Rattus norvegicus: one gene and its partner. The protein of the gene in region 1 purifies or fractionates together with the protein of each later gene. This does not show direct contact. Links are inferred from orthologs where the notes say so. Each region holds a gene or a part of one and is shown on either strand. Other genes may lie near its edges. The genes, in order: Sdhaf1 and Sdhb.

Region 1 (7,311 bases):
TGCGCTGGTGTACCCATCTGCGCTGGTGTACCCATCTGCGCTGGTGTACCCATCCGCAGTGGTGTACCCATCTGCGCTGGTGTACCCATCTGCGCTGGTGTACCCATCTGCGCTGGTGTACCCATCTGCGCTGGTGTACCCATCTGCGCTGGTGTACCCATCTGCGCTGGTGTACCCACCTGCGCTGGTGTACCCATCTGTGCTGATGTACCCACCTGTGCTGGTGTACCCACCTGTGCTGGTGTACCCATCTGTGCTGGTGTACCCACCTGTGCTGGTGTACCCACCTGTGCTGGTGTACCCACCTGTGCTGGTGTACCCACCTGTGCTGGTGTACCCATCTGCGCTGGTGTACCCATCTGTGCTGGTGTACCCACCTGTGCTGGTGTACCCATCTGTGCTGGTGTACCCATCTGTGCTGGTGTACCCATCTGTGCTGGTGTACGCATCTGTGCTGGTGTACCCATCTGTGCTGGTGTACCCATCTGTGCTGGTGTACACTTCGCTTTGCCCCTTCAGAATCTTTGTGCTGTTCAGTTTTGAGGCAGAGTCTTGCTATGTATCTAGGCTGGAATAACAGGTACAGCACCATAAACTAGTTTTACTCAATGTCGGGGATCAAACCCAGGGTTTCATACATCTCCAGCCCTGTAGAGCATAAATCACAGAAAACAAATAATTAAACATTAAAGTATGCAGAGTTGTGCCTGGCATAAAGTAAGTGTTCAGTAAACAACTTAGATAGAAAAAATAATAAAACAGGGTTTGAGGGTTTTGGGTTTTTGTTTTGTTTTGTTTTTCAAGACAGGGTTTCCCTGGCTGACCTTGAACTTATTCTGTAGACCAGGCTAGCCTTGAACTCAGAGATCTGCCTGCCTCTGCCTCCCAGGTGCTGGGATTAAAGGTGTGCACCACCAGGTAAAACAGGTTATGGCCTCAGCAAGACCACATTAAGACATAGATAAGAGAGATGAGACAGATCACTGAGTACAGACACACACACACACACACACACACACACATACACACACACCACCACCACCAAGGCTTCTTATAGGAACATATATAAAATGTAATAAGGACTGTGGCCCAGTTGTTAGCATAACTTTTAGGCTCAGCACCAGTTACTGGGCAACAGCCAGGTATGCCTGACTGGTTATAAAAGGGGCTGCTTGCCCCCTCCTCACTCTCTTCTCTTGCTCTCTTCCTCTCTTTCCCCTCTGCCTCTTCTATCCCCATTCCCCTCCCTACCCCCCTCCCCACCCCACCCACCCCCACATGCTCTTGTGGCTGGTACCTCAGGGGGAAGTGATCCCTCAGCATGGGCCCACAAAGGCACTCCTTTACCCCTTCCCCCACCATACCGCACCTCCACCAAACATATACGTGGCTTCTTTTATAAAACAGAACACCAGCGACTTAGCTCACCTACACAAGGAGAGACATAGAAGTGCACTGGGCAGAGGACTTTGATCCCTCATTCCTTGTCCTAAGAAACTCAAGGTGGGCAGGGTCCATTACCCTCCCACCCCCACTCCCAGTCCCCACCCCGAATGTAATTAGAATGACACTTCACAGCCTAGAGGACTGATACCCTGGGGAGGCTTGAAGACTGCCAGTCTAGGCCAAGAGTTCGTAAGGACTTTCCCATGGTTGCAACATGGCAAGGCCCTGCACCTTTCACAAAGGGAGGAAACTGGAGAGATGGCTCAGCAGTTAGGAGGACTTGCTGTCCTTCCAGAGGACCTGAGTTCAAGTCTCAGTATTGGGTAATAATAGTCTCAGGTCATTAGAATTGAATCAGGCTGTGTGGGGCAATAGCCCTGCGCTGGCCCCAACGGAAGTCGAACAGTCTGTGTGGGGAGTGAGGACGAGTCTGGGAGAGAGAGAAAGAGGATGCAAAGACAAGAGATAGATTTGGGAGGACTGCCAGCCGATACTGCAGCAGCCTCCAGTTTCTTTTTTATAGCCTTTTTATACCTCGCAGTACTGTGGGAAGCAAAGCCACAAGCTAATAGAAACAACTGCTGAAATATACACAGGACATCTGTTCCCATCCAAAGGCCTCCATGTTCCTTCCACCAAGGTCAACAGAATCTTCAGCCCTGAGCCTTGAGCTCCAAGTGTACGTCCTCTTATCATCCCATACCTCAGCAGGCCAGGAAATCTGCCAACAGACCCTGACCCACCCTGACTCTGCTTGGCAGGCCGACTTCTCTTTCTCTCCCTCCCTCCCTCCCTCCTTCCCTCGATCTTCTCCCTTCCTCTCTTCCTCCTCCTCCTCCTCCTCTTCTTCTTCCCCTCCCTCCCCACTCCACCTCTCTTTGCTTCAGAGAAGCAGGCAAAGGGCTCCTGACACAGCCTTTAGCCATAAAAGATGGCTCAGCCCCAGTCTTCTGTTCCAACTGCAGAAACAATATGCCTGGGTATTGAAAAACAACCCACTCTGCTCTCAGCCAAATTACAAAAGATCCCTGTAAGTTCCTCGTGGCTACCTATATATGTGTGTGCACATAAACATGTCCCCCATCGCCATTAAATGCACCCAACCTTCATCCCACAGAAATGTTTCAATGAAGCTATCGCAGCCTACTGAAATGGAGTCGGTCCACCGCTGCCTTGTTTCTCCTACACTCAGCACCCATTAGATTCACAATGGGTGAAGCCTGTAGACTTCATGGGCTCTGACCCTCTCCTCTGGCCTGTCCAATGTGTTCACATACATACATGCTGGAGAGAGGGCTGAGTGGTTGAGAGCACTGACTGCTCTTCCAGAGGACCTGGGTTCATTCCAAGCACCCATACCATGTTGGCTCACTACAAGCTGTAACTCCATCTCTCTCTCTCTCTGTCCTTCTCTCTCTCTCTCTCTCTCTCTCTCTCTCTCTCTCTCCCCCTCTCTCTCCCCATTCCCTCTCCTCTCCCCTTCTTTCTCTTCTATTTAGTGAAGGGGGTAGAATGGAGGGCAGGGATAAAGGGTGGGATAAAGAAAAACCCATGGGGCTGGGGATTTAGCTCAGTGGTAGAGCGCTTACCTAGGAAGCGCAAGGCCCGGGGTTCCGTCCCCAGCTCCAAAAAAAAGAACCAAAAAAAAAAAAAAAAAAAAAAAAGAAAGAAAAAGAAAAACCCACAAAGTAACAGAGACTGGCTACATTTAAAAGCTGAACTTTCGGGGGTTGGGGATTTAGCTCAGTGGTAGAGCGCTTGCCTAGCAAGCATAAGGCCCTGGGTTCGGTCCCCAGCTCCGAAAAAAAGAAAAAAAGAAAAAAAAAAAAAAGAAAAAAGCTGAACTTTCTGTCAGCTCCAAGGGAAACTCCAATTCCCCCAATTCCAAAGGGCAGTCCAAATATCCAGAAATGAGCTCACCCTGGACTGCAGGAGGATTTCTGGTGGTGAAACAAAGCCAGCACAGCTCAGGAACTTGAGAAACTTGGCATCCTTTCCCTCACCTCTAGAAGGGATGTATAGCTACATGTGGGGCCTGTCAATAAAACAAAGAGCCTGCAGCCTTATCTCCTGCTATTTGTTAAGGGTTAAACCTGACAACGGTTCTGCCATATTGCCTCAACCTTCATTTTGTGGCTCATGACCTTAACCTGACCTAATGTTCCCTGACCATAACATCATGTTGTCGGTTAGAGCCTCCCTGGAGACCTCTGGGGATTTCCTAGCCTTCCTGCCTCTAGACCCAGCCAATGAGCTTAAAGGTCAGACAGTGCTGCTCTGTCAAGAGAGCCAAATGCATCTGTTCAGGGGTTTCCCCCATATAAAAACTGGCCCTGAGAACTGCCTGAGGTCTGCATGCCTGATTAATCAGTCTTGGAATGTGTGCTCAATAAACCGTCTCGATACCCTACTGACACTGGTGTCACCCAGTGATTTGTGTGGTTAATCCTGAACCCCAACACTATTTTCTCCTCTCTCACAGACAGCTCTGGCTATGTCCAATCTACTTCCTCTGTCTATTCTGGACTCTTCTAGATGTCTCTGGCTGTCCTCTCTCTCATATCTACAACAAACAATTCAACAAACAGCTTTCCCTTAACCATACCATGGAGTGGTCATGTCGTCAGTTTATGCACTTTCCAGCCCCCCAAACAGTAAAAATCTTTTTAAAAACTGCTTGTCTCTTCCCAATATCCCTATGCCCCCTGGTTATTCCCGGATTCGAACTCTTCGCTCCCAGTCCTCCCAGGACTCAGAACTATCTCCTCCTATTCTCTTCTAACATCTAACCGCTTAGGCTCTGCCCCCTGCTTCAACTCAAGTTCAGAAACAACCAGGACTGTAGGCCACTCAAAGACTACCCTTTAGGGTGAACCGGAGCACTAGAGACCCGGTCCACTTCCAGGGCCGCCACGACGTACTGCAGTACTAGCCAATCGGATGCGGCGGCACCGGTTAGCAGGAGGCGGGACTTCTGGCGGACGTGACTGTGGCCCTGCCCGTTAGCTTCTCAGCACTGTCTGTCGGGGCGGTCCTTCCGGTAGGGTCCGGGCGACTGACCGCGACGCAGCGGTCATGAGCCGGCTTAGCCGGCTGCAGAGGCAAGTTCTGAGCCTGTACCGCGAACTGCTGCGCGCCGGGCGCGGGAAGCCGGGCGCCGAGGCACGGGTGCGGGCCGAGTTCCGGCAGCACGCCAGCCTTCCGCGCTCCGACGTGCTGCGTATCGAGTATCTGTATCGCCGGGGACGGCGCCAGCTACAGCTGCTGCGTTCCGGCCACGCCACGGCCATGGGTACTTTCGTGCGCCCGCGGGGCCCTACTGAAGAACCCGTCGACGCGACAGCCCCGGGGAACAGGCTGGACGATAGTGATGCCCTAAAGAATCCTTGTGAAGGCACGGGAGCACGGGAAACGCGATCCGATGGACGGTGACAGACCCAGAGAAAGGTTCCTTTTGACAGTTTGGGAGGAAGATCGGGAACTCATCCAAATGGAAGCTGAGATGTCTTAAGAGACAACGGAATTTTCTCGATGCATGGTGAGAGGTCAGACACTCCCTCACCAAGGAGGTTCCGGGCATCCGGTGGCACCGGCTGGCTGAACAATGTATGCTGGGATTCACCAACCCAAAGTCAAAGAGAGCACAGACTCACGTTCTCCTCCCCTCGGGGCGTGACACCTCTCTTGACTTCTAAGAACACATACACCTCCCCACTCCCTGCCTTTTGCTGTTTTTAATGCCGAGAAAACGGCCTTTTTGCCGTGCATGTTTAATGGAACACCCTGATGAACCATGAGAAGCTTCGCGGTCCGGTTTGGAAAACCACTGCCCGACTTGTTGTGAAGAACCAGGATTGTAAGGGAGGTTACAGTAACTCACCCCAGCTGATGAGCCTGAGACTTCTGGAGAATCCCTAGCCCCTATTCTTGTCAGTCTTCCTCAGGATTCTTGTATAAAGGGAATAAATGTGAGGTGTGCTTTCTTCCTTGTTGTCTTAATAATCTTGTTGATTCTTTCATTAGGGGCCTTTGCTTTTTCTTTTGAGACAGGGTCTTGTTAGAATATAACCTCGGCTGCTCTCAGCGTCAGCTCCTTCTGCCTCAGCCTCTGAACTCCAAGATTATTGGCACGTACTGCCATGCCAAGGTTGGAGAGGCAGGCGGGAACAAAAGGGAGGAAAATGGAACCCCAGCTGAGGCTTGGTGTGTGACATAAAGAGCCTGTGACACTGTTTTCATATGGCTTTTATCTCACTTTGTTACATCACTCCCACCCTCCTGCCATAGGATGTTAGCTCTCTGCTCATCTCTCAGCTTCGGTTTTATTTAGCAAGGTGATCTTGGTTGGGTAGTTTTTGTTGTTTTTAAGACATGGACTCACTTAACCCAGGCCGGCCTCAATCTGGTCATGTAAGGGATAATGGCTTGCAACTCCTCCGTTCACCTCCAGATTACAGGCTCATTCTACCACAACACATGCTAATCTGTGTTTGCTCTGTTTATGGCCTTGTGCTTGCTGAGCAAGTGAGATAACCACTGGGATTCTCTTCCAACCCCAAGGTGACCCTGTTGATCTTGGTGCCATCTCAACTCCAGGTCTGAAAGTGACTACTGAAGTCCTACCCAACCTGTACCCTTGACATATCCCAGTCTCCTGTCTCATCTCCTGGCCCCAAGGGCCTGAGCTACATAGAGCAACCTTGTCTCTAAAAGGAAGGAAAGGGGGCCAGAGAGAAGGTTCAGTGGAAAAGGGAGCTTGGTGACAGGCCTGACTAGCTGAGTTTAAATCCCAGGGAACACACAGGAGATGAGAAAGAACTATGGCAATCTATGTCCATCTGCCTGTGTGCACACAGATATGTAGGTAGGTAGATAAGTGGGTAGGTAGAGATAGATGTATTTAGGAAGACAGACCATGATGACAGATTCCCTGATATACCCCTTAGCTACTGGTTTGCATTATCTTAATGTGGGCTTTCCTAGAAGCTACTGTTCCCCAGGCCTCTTCAGTACCCGATTTTGCATTTCCAGTAGCCATTCCATCTACTTTGAAGACACACTCCCTTCCCCATGGTTAGCCCCCATGATTCCAGCAGACCTGACTGGCCCCTCCTGAAGGCAGAACACACGGCCTAAACCAGTTGAGCCCTCCTGGGGACTCTTAAGTATGGAAGTTTAAAGGGAGAGCTATCCTGTTGACTATAAATTGATAGACACTCTAGCCACTAGGGAATGGACAAAGACAAAATGGGTGGGTGGGGTGGGAGGGCAGAAACAAAGACATCATTAGGATTTAGTTGTGCCAGAAGTCCTGAATGTCTGTTACCACACAAACTCCTGTTCCCATTAAGTCAGGGATCACTTGGCCTTAGTCACTCGCTCTTGGGTGGCCTCGGCCCTGACCTCTCTTGGCACCTGGCTACAGTGGGGCCTTGTGGCAATTCAAGGAGGCGTACATTCTTTCTGTGTGCAGCTTGGAGGCCAGCACAGGGAGGAGGAGCTGTGTTCAATGAGCATGGGCTAGCACCCGGCTCTGCTTTGTTCTTGTATTTGTGTTACCACCTCTTCCCTCACACCGTAGATTTGAGGAGATCAGGCTGCAACCCAGTGTGGACAATCCCAGGACTTCATACCAGAGCTGCGGATCAATGGTGGACCACTTGCCTGGCATGCTCCAGGCCCTGCCTGGGTTTCATTCCAAGCAACGCAGAACAGAAATATTAGCTAGGCCTGGTGACACACACCTGTAATCCCAGCCCCCTGGAGGTCGAGGCAGGAGGTTCAAAGTCAGCCTGAACTCTGAGTAAAACTACCAAGGGGAAAAATTATCCTATGAAGGAGAGTGACTGTCTCAGTCCTGAGCTA
Region 2 (8,885 bases), on another chromosome or scaffold:
GGGGAGGGGGGACTCCGGCCCAGCCTATGCAACGGTACTTGCTTTATGGAGGATACACTGAGCCCGTGGACGTTTGGATGCTGGTTGGCTGATCACACTGACTTGCCTTGCTTTTTCTCTATCCCTGTCTCTCTATTCTGTTTCCTGAAGAATCACCCGATGCCCTGATATACCATGAAAGTCTTTCATGCTGACTCCAGGGAAGCCAACAAGGGCTGATGGGGCTAAAACGGAAAGGGACAGGCTTGGGGATGTGGCTCACTGGCAGATCACCAGCGAGGCACACATGCCTCTGTTCAGTTCCTAGCACTAGTAGAGAATGGTTACTCAAAACATTCCTATTTTATGATCTTTTTGTGAATATTTTTTAGATTTACTTTACTCTCCTGTGTGAATGTTGTGCATATATATATATATATATATATATATATATATATATATATATATATATATGTCCTGCATGTGTGCCTGCTTCCCTGGGAGATCAGGAGGAGGCATCAGGCCCCCTAGACTTGGAATTATAGATTGTTGTGAGCCACCAGGTAAGTGCTGGGAACTGCTGAGTGGTCTCTCCAGCCCCTTCGATATGAGCTTTAAAAACACTCTTTGTCCTGGTCCTCGAGTAGTCACCACGGTGCCCGCCTGAGTCTCTACACGGCTCCAAACCCCCCCCCCCAATCTCTCCTCTCGCTGCGACAAGAAACCAGCTCACCTTCCTTACTCCCCATCCCTCCATCCGGCTGACCCACCTGACTGTGTACCTACTGTGTGCTGCATCCTAAGCCAGGCACTTTGTTCGCCTGCTGAGTGTTTCTTAGCCACCTGCTGTGCTGCAGGCCCCTGAGCAGGCTCTGGATATGACCCTGAACAAGAGACAAATCTTCACCTTGGCCCAGAAGTTCCCTGCAATCAACACAGCTGTGAAGAATTCAGAAAACCACCCCCACCCCCAACAAAACCAAACAGATAGAAAGAATGAATTCAAAACAGATTTGCAGACAACAATAAATTCAGTGAGGATGCCCCGCTCTATTGAAATGTCCCCAGTTGGGCCTAAAGACAGGAAAGCAGGATATCCTCAAACCAAGTCTAAGTTGTACTGATGACCCGAGCAGAGGATATTTTGTTGAGAGTGGTTGTTTTCTAGAAAGGGAGAAAGTTGGATCTGAATTTTTGCAAAGGGCTGTAGAGGAGGAAAAAGCGGGTAGGTGGCCCACACCTACAACCCCAGCACGTGGGAGGATTAAGAATTCTGGGCCAGCCTGGGCTACATGAAGAGCCCTTGTCAATAGATAAATAGGTATAGGAAGCTAGGACATTGCAGGTCCAAGTTATGGAACTGCACAGAGAAGAGGGGTGGACAGAGAAGAGGGTGGACAGAGAAGAAGATGGACAGATTTAAGTGGAGGCTAGAGTGGCCATGGACTTTGATGGATGGTAGTGGTGGTGGTAGGAGTAGAAATATGAACATCTCAGGCTGCTGGTGGGACAAGCCTGCTCTACTTCCAAGGGGAATTAGAACCTTAGAGAGAGGTGGGGAGAGAGAGAGAGAGAATATATCTGTATCTGGGATCACACACACACACACACACACACACACACACACACACACACTTTTTTTTGGCTTTTCAAGACTGAGTTTCTCTGTATAACCCTAGCTGCCCTGGAACTCACTCTTTAGACCAGGCTAGCCTCAAATCTGAGATCCACCTGCCTCTGCCTCCCAAGTTCTGGGATTGAAAGTGTGCTGCCACCACCGCCTCTTGGCCCCCCGTTTTCTCTTTGGAGGACTGGGAGAGGGGTTCTCACTATACCGCAGAGGTTGCGCTGTAACTAACAACTCTGTTGGGTATTTCCAAGGCAATCTGAGCTGTCGGGCCCAGCTTGGTATTGGTCTTTGCTCCCAGACTCTGTGCCTAGGCCTGGGGGAGTAGAAAGTTCCTCGAGCAGGATTCCCACCCTGGTTGCCCAGATTTCCCAGTTCTCAAAGACTGTCTGCAAGTGGGGACAGTTATTCCGACCCATCAGGGTTGTTGGGAGGACCAGGGGAGACTGTTGATGCCAACACATTTGTGGACGATGAGGTGAGGCTCTCCATAAACGCAGGGCGCCCAGTGGCATGTCTGATGAAAGCAATAGATCACTGTCTACACAGATGGCAACAAACCAACCCCAACCCTGCGGTCTCACGGCACGGACACCTTGGCAATCTAAGTCCAGAAGAGGCCATGCAGACCTTTAAATCCTATGGCCTCTGTGCCTTTCTGGCACCCCAAAGCTTAGGGCGGAGGTAGAGCAGCCCAGGAATTTATTATCCTTCCATAACGTTGAGCTTCCCAAATCCCCATGAAGCCCAGGAATGATGTGACGGCAGGGTGTGTGGGCCTACTGGCACCAGGAGCCCCTCTGTAAATCAAAGTCTCACTTTTGCTGGCTGCTGACTGCTTTTTCCAAGGTGACCTGGAAAAAAAAGGGTGGCCATTCGCGTAGGGGTGGTGTCTGCCTTTGACATGGTGGCTAAAAAAATGGCTAAAGAGACCAGTTCTCTAGAAATACTGCCTGGAGGAGTTACAAAGAAATGACAGTCTTCCTACAACCTTGGCCCACTTGGGTGGCCCCAATGGTCCCTTGGGTAGCCTAGAAGAAACTATCCCAGCCCTGAGCCAGGCCCCCTAAGAAGCCAAGGTAACCTTGCCATCTGTTGCACAAGACAACCATGCTAATCATAATCAGCTGGCACAACTCCTACTGATTCAGGCAAGGACACCATAAGTCAGAAGTGATGAAAGAGTTGTCAAAGGTCACATGGCCTTGAGGGGAGCAATCTAGGTAACCCCAAGGGTTCAGGACTCCCCACACCCTTTTTAATGAGGCCACCTGGCAGGGAAATCAGAATCAGGGTGAGTTCTCAGAAACTTGGCCTCATCTAACCATTCCTCCTGTCATGGTAATTTCTCCAGTGGCTTCTAAATGATGGGAGTGAGGAAACCCAAGACTATAAACAGTGCCCTCCCTCTGCCAAAGGTGAGCGGAAAGTAATAAACTCATTCCTCTGGTAATTGGGACCAGCAAAGTCACTGGGTACCTCAAGAGATCAAGTGACTTGGGATAGCAAGATCACACCTGCCCAAAGTGGTCAAATCCCCAGTCAGAAGGGCTCTGAGAGAACCCATTAAAAGTGCCAGAAAAAAGCAGCTCAGGTGGACTGGAGAGATGGCTCATTGGTTAAGAGAACTGACTGTTCTTCCAGAGGTCCTGAGTTCAGTTCCCAGCAACAACATGGTGTCTCATAACCATCTATAACAGGCCCTGTTCTGATGTGTCTGAAGGCAGCTACAGTATATTCATATAATGAACAAGACTTTTTTTCTTCTTCTTTTTTTTTCTTTTTTTTTTTTTTTTTTTTTTTTTGGTTCTTTTTTTCGGAGCTGGGGACCAAACCCAGGGCCTTGTGCTTCCTAGGCAAGCGCTCTACCACTGAGCTAAATCCCCAACCCCTTTTTTCTTCTTTAAGCAGCTCAGGTGACTAAGAAAACTGACAAAGCAAAATCTGAGGACACAGCTGGGTTGGTAGAGTGCTTGTTGTCCAGCACGTACTACCAGGCGTGGTGACACACAGCTATAATCCCAGCTCTCGGCAGTTCTTTACCTACGGGAAGATCTGAAGTTCAAGACAGTGGACAGCCTCTGTCTCCTTGGTGTCCAGCCTAAGCTGCATTACTCCTCTGTCCTATTGTCATCTTCCTCAAGGTTAGAAAGGAATTATGTGAGCCATTAACTCACTTACCACAGCACCCCAGAGCCTGGCGCCAGCCACACAGCAGGTGCCCTTTTTGATTGCTTTGGTTTTGTTTTTGTGTGTTTTAAGACAGAGCCTCAAGTATCCCAGATAGCCTCCACCTCACTAAGTAGCCAAGGATGAGCTTGATTCTCCTACTGCCTCCACATGCCAATTTCTGGGATTCCAGGCATGCAACTTACGTACATATTTATGAATAAATGAATGAGCGACACCTTTGACATTCATTTTTGTGACCGCCTCAATCGCTCGCCAACTGTCTCGCTCAGAGAGGGACTGACGGGTCCTCTAGCACAAAACTGATCAGACAAGAGTCACAGGTGATTGACAGACACGACTGCAAGTAGAGAGGGATTAAAATCACAGCCTTCAGCAAACTAGGAAAGACCCGCCCCTCCTGGCCTTTGCCCCACCCCTCCAGGCTACCTTCCCTCTTTCCCGCTGCTCCGACTCCAGAGGTCACCTTAGGAACATAGGAAGCCCAGTGGGCATGCGCCCTACTGGCCGCTACGGCACACTCGCACTTCCTGTCCGTTTACTCGGGATACCGGAAGCTGCCTTCCACTCGTTGGCTCTTAGGCTGCTAGCGGACCTCAAGGGGAGAGGCCGGCTTCCCACCGCGGTGTTCGACGGGATGCCGGAGGGTAAGGGGTGGGGCTGACGTCAGGAGCCAAAATGGCGGCGGTGGTCGGGGTCTCCTTGAAGCGCGGCTTTTCGGCTACGGCTCTCGGCAGAGTCGGCCTGCAGGTGAGCCCCGGAGCCGTAGTTCAGTGGGGAACCGTGCCGGTCACCGAGGCTGCCTGGGTGGAGAGTCCGCGGAGAAGCGGAAAGAGCCCGGGTCCAGGCCTCAGGAGAGGACTTACCAGCTCCCTGCCCCTGAGCATCCTTTCAGATAGCCAACCCGCGCTTCTCCCAAGCTGGAGAGTCGCGGCCGGGAGGAGGTTGGAAAAGATAACGGAAAGGCAGAGGTCAGGGAGGACAAGCGAATTGGTCAAGGTCATATGATGGGCGACCTGTTGTTGGAACCCAGAATCAAATCCTGATATTTGCACTCGACCAACCTTGTGTAAAAGGGAGGCCTGCGGGTTGTCTGGGACGGGTCCCGGGAGACCAGGTCGCAACTCCAGATTAGGCTGTTCTGCATCGGTAATGTCGGAGACCGCTGAACTCTGGAGGACAATGCACTTGACCCGCAGGGAAAGGAAGACATAGAAGAAAACGACCCAACCCCTGAAAGATGCGGACTGTAGAAGTTTGCAAGCAAGACCCGGTTCCCTGAAGTGTGTTTATTCAAGGGTGTGTAGCGGCACTGATCTCATACGGATGGCATGGGATGACAGACAGAGCCTGGAGCTGCTTTTGTTAATACTACTGTAGTGGCTCTGTCATAGGTCTCCCCACACGCCCTATCCTCGGGAGCTGTACACAGTGGAAGCACTTAGAAAGGCGAGAGAAACTGCCTCTCCTTAAAGATTTACAAATACCATTCAGTCCTCTTCTGGGCTCCTGGACAGTCCTTCACAGGTGGACAACAGGAACTCCGAGAGAGACTTTCTTAGTGACTTAAAACCTGAGCGCCCCCCCCCCCTTTCTTGTAAACTGTAGATCGTGGGCAGGTTCTTTTGTGGGTTGTTTTTTGTTTTGTTTTGTTTTGTTTAGATGTTTCCATTTGTACGTAGGAGTTATGTATAGGCACCATGCGTGTGCCTGTGGAGAAGAGGGAGCCGTATTTCCTGGAACTGGAGTTACAGGTGGTTATCAGCCGCCATGCGAGTGCAGAGAACTGAACTCTGCTCCTTCCAAACTGCTAGGACAAATCTCCAGCCTGTGACAGTGTTATTGTTTTGCTTAGGTTTTGGCTTTTTGGACAGTGTCTTTATGCAACCCTGGCTGTCCTGGAACTCAGAGATCCTCCTCCTTCAGCACATGGGAGTAAATGCTGAGATGAAAGGTGTGGACCTGTGCATCTCTGCATACACACCTATCATAGCAGCACTCGGGAGGCTGAGGCAGCGAGATCAGGAGTGTAAGGACATCCTCAGCCCCATATGGAGTGCAAGGCCAACCTGGGCTACTTGGGACCCTGTCTCAACAACAAAAACAGACAGTGCCTACCAGAGCCTCAGGCTGATGTCCCAAGTATTCAGTTAATGATCCTGTTTTGGTTGTTGAGAATTTCATGCATGACTACTGTATTTAAATTTTTTCCAATCCCCTCTCTCCTCCCATGCTCCCTCCCTTTCAAACTCATGACTTCTTTAATTAGCATGGCTAAATATATACGTACACAATCTCTTTAAGTGCATTTAGTGTTCCTTATGCATAAAGTGTTTAGGGCTGAGAACATGGGATCCTAATGACACCAGTTCATGCAAGCATGAATGGGAGAAATTTCACCAGGCCCCACCCCTAATTTAAAAGCTACAGCAATCAGTGACCGCACAAAGGGGGTGTATCAGTTTTCTTGAGGGAGGAGCCTCCTGATAGGTTATCCAGTTAATAATTCCGGGTGACCTTGTTTACTGTCCTCTTTCTACATTGCAGAGGCAGCAGTGAGGTTATGAGAGCCTCACTGTAAGGAGTGAGTTCTCAGGCTCAGGCGGGGCATTCTAGAACGAAGTGAAGAAGAGACTGGTTTCAAAGGTCAGCATTAGGATTTCAGGAGAGGCCCTTACCCACCTTTCTAGGGTAGTGAGAGTAAGAGAGGCCTCCTCCCTGTGGGAAGGTATATTTGTGCTCAAAAAGCCCCGTCCTGAGCTTGCTGTGGACTTTCCGTTCTGGTTCCAAGTCTCCTGTGATTGCTGTGAACTCATGGGAACAGATCATTTCCTGAGCTGTGCCAGTAGTTTGGCCTGCTCCTTGTGAAGTGGGTATCCATACCACCCTCCCCTTCGCAAAGGGGGAAGTGAGATTAGACTGGAGGAAGTGGGATCAGACTGGTTAAGAGATTCTCTAAAGAACTCGCAGCTTGAAGGTAACAGGGCTGGATCCCACTAACACACTTCAGATACAAGCCTGCCCCTTCCTTGAGTCTGTAGGGTTGGCTTTGCCTTCTTACCTTTGCCCACCTTCCTTCCTGGTGGCCGTGTCATATGTCTAGCTTCAGGCCTGCCCCTGCGGAAGATAGAGGAAGTTCATCTTCTCCAGGATTATCTAGAGACGTTCTTCCTTCGTGGCACAGTCACTGGAGTCATAGATCGAGGGCCAGATGTGTTCACAGTCTCCACTCCCATGGGGAACCTGGCATATAAGTTGCTGGACAGGGAGGGAGAGAGAGGAAGGAAGTCTCACACTACAGCCCATCTCCCTGTCTGAGCGGCCTTTTTTTAAAAGCAAAGGGTTTATTAGGAAAAGCTCTGAGAGCCGAGGAGATGGCTTGGTGGCTGAAAAGGCGTGTTGGTCAGATCTAATGACCAGAGCCCTGTCCCTAGAACCCACATGAAGGCAGAAGGAGGGAACCTACTTCAGAGTGTTCCTCTGCCCTCCACATGAGCACATCCTCGCCACCGACACCATGCACACAATCCAAATGCATTTTTGTTTAAAAAAAAGTTTTAATATAGATTTAAGCACAGACATTAGGGGAGAGGGAAAGACCATGAATGTACACAGGTTTCTCAAGAGGAGGTTGCTCATTCTCCTTCCTAATACCAGGGTTCAGGGCAGGCTAACAGGACTCCTTGGGCCAGCATACCACGTGTCCTGATGTCCATCCTGTCTTTCCTCATTTGTTCACCAAGGCCCTCTGCTAATTGTCCCCTCACCGATTCATAGCTGTTCTCTGCCCTCATGGTTATGCAAGGTACACAAGCATGCTGTGATTCCTGCCATCTTTCTGAAAATCACAAATCTAGGCTTGGAGAGATGGCTCAGCTCTCAAGAACACTTGCTGAGTTCAGTTCCCAGCTCCCATGTCCCGTCACTCACAGCCAGCTGTAATTGCAACTTTGGCAGATCCAGTGCCATCTTCTGGCTACCTCAGGCACCTGCACACATGGCATATACTCAGACACACACACACACACACACACACACACACACACACACACACACACGGCATACACGAGAATAAAAATAGGCTGGTGTGGTGGTATACACCTTTAATTCCAGCACTCATAAGGCCATGTAATCAGACCTCTGTAAGTTTGATGCCAGTCTGCTCTACTAGCAAGTTCCAGGATAGCCAGGGCTGGATATAAGACCTTGTCTCAAAACAACAGGACTAGCTGATTCCTAGCCATGGAAGGTGGATGCAGAATTGGCTGTTTAAGGTAATTCTTGGCTACATAATAAATTTGAGGCCAGCCTGGGCTATGTGAGCCTCATCTCAAAGTAAATAAATATCCTTGATTGATTTCAATCTGACCCTAGTCCCTTTTGAAAAGTGTGCCTGATCAAATGTCTCTATAGAAACAAATGTTTAAATAGGAGAAAGACGATGAAGCTCCTTTGCAGGTAACCTGTCATTTCAGCAGGCCTAGGAGTCAACTGAGCTCTTCCTGCCCTCAGAGGGTACTGCTGAATTGGTCTTCCATACTATGGGGCCATAATTGGGTATGTAGTATTGTCTTGGTACTCAGGAGCAGAAATCAGAGATTTGCCGCATGTTCAAGGCCAGCCTGAACTGCATAGTAAGATGTTTTCATCCAGGAAGAATCTCAATACTATTACAGATATATGTGATCTAAAATTATCTCAAGAGTCCAGAAGAGGGCGTAGGATGCATGTTTGTATCGTCCCGGTACCCGCATAAACCAGGCATTGTGGGGCGTCCCTGCTGACGTAGCACGGGGGAGCAGAGGCAGGAAGGTCCAGGTTCAGGGTCATCATCTCAGGGTTATTGTTCCTGGCTGTCTGACTCACATGACAGAGATTTTGTGTTGCTGAGATGCAGCAGAACAGAGCAGAACTTGTTTGTTCCCTAATTGGTGCTCAGATAGTCTTCATCATGAGTTTTCACTGGGTTTGGGAGGAGTGCTTTCTTTTTAAACAAATTTCTTTTTTCTTTCTTTTTTTTTTTTTTCTTTTTTTTTTTTCCCGGAGCTGAGGACCAAACCCAGGGCCTTGCACTTGCTAGGCAAGCACT

Evidence for each region.
Region 2: the proteins of Sdhaf1 (region 1) and Sdhb purify together in Homo sapiens (co-immunoprecipitation; 3 studies listed by BioGRID and IntAct, with this or other methods). This does not show direct contact. The link is inferred for Rattus norvegicus from reciprocal best matches to the Homo sapiens genes SDHAF1 and SDHB.

Annotation. Positions count from the first base shown.
Region 1 is NC_086019.1:94,701,796-94,709,106, reverse strand, and holds Sdhaf1 (succinate dehydrogenase assembly factor 1, mitochondrial), read left to right. Parts: upstream 1-4,495; 5' UTR 4,496-4,521; coding exon 4,522-4,878; 3' UTR 4,879-5,445; downstream 5,446-7,311.
Region 2 is NC_086023.1:158,543,480-158,552,364, forward strand, and holds the start of Sdhb (succinate dehydrogenase [ubiquinone] iron-sulfur subunit, mitochondrial precursor), read left to right. Parts: upstream 1-4,454; 5' UTR 4,455-4,474; coding exon 4,475-4,546; intron 4,547-8,885. UniProt on the Homo sapiens protein: Iron-sulfur protein (IP) subunit of the succinate dehydrogenase complex (mitochondrial respiratory chain complex II), responsible for transferring electrons from succinate to ubiquinone (coenzyme Q).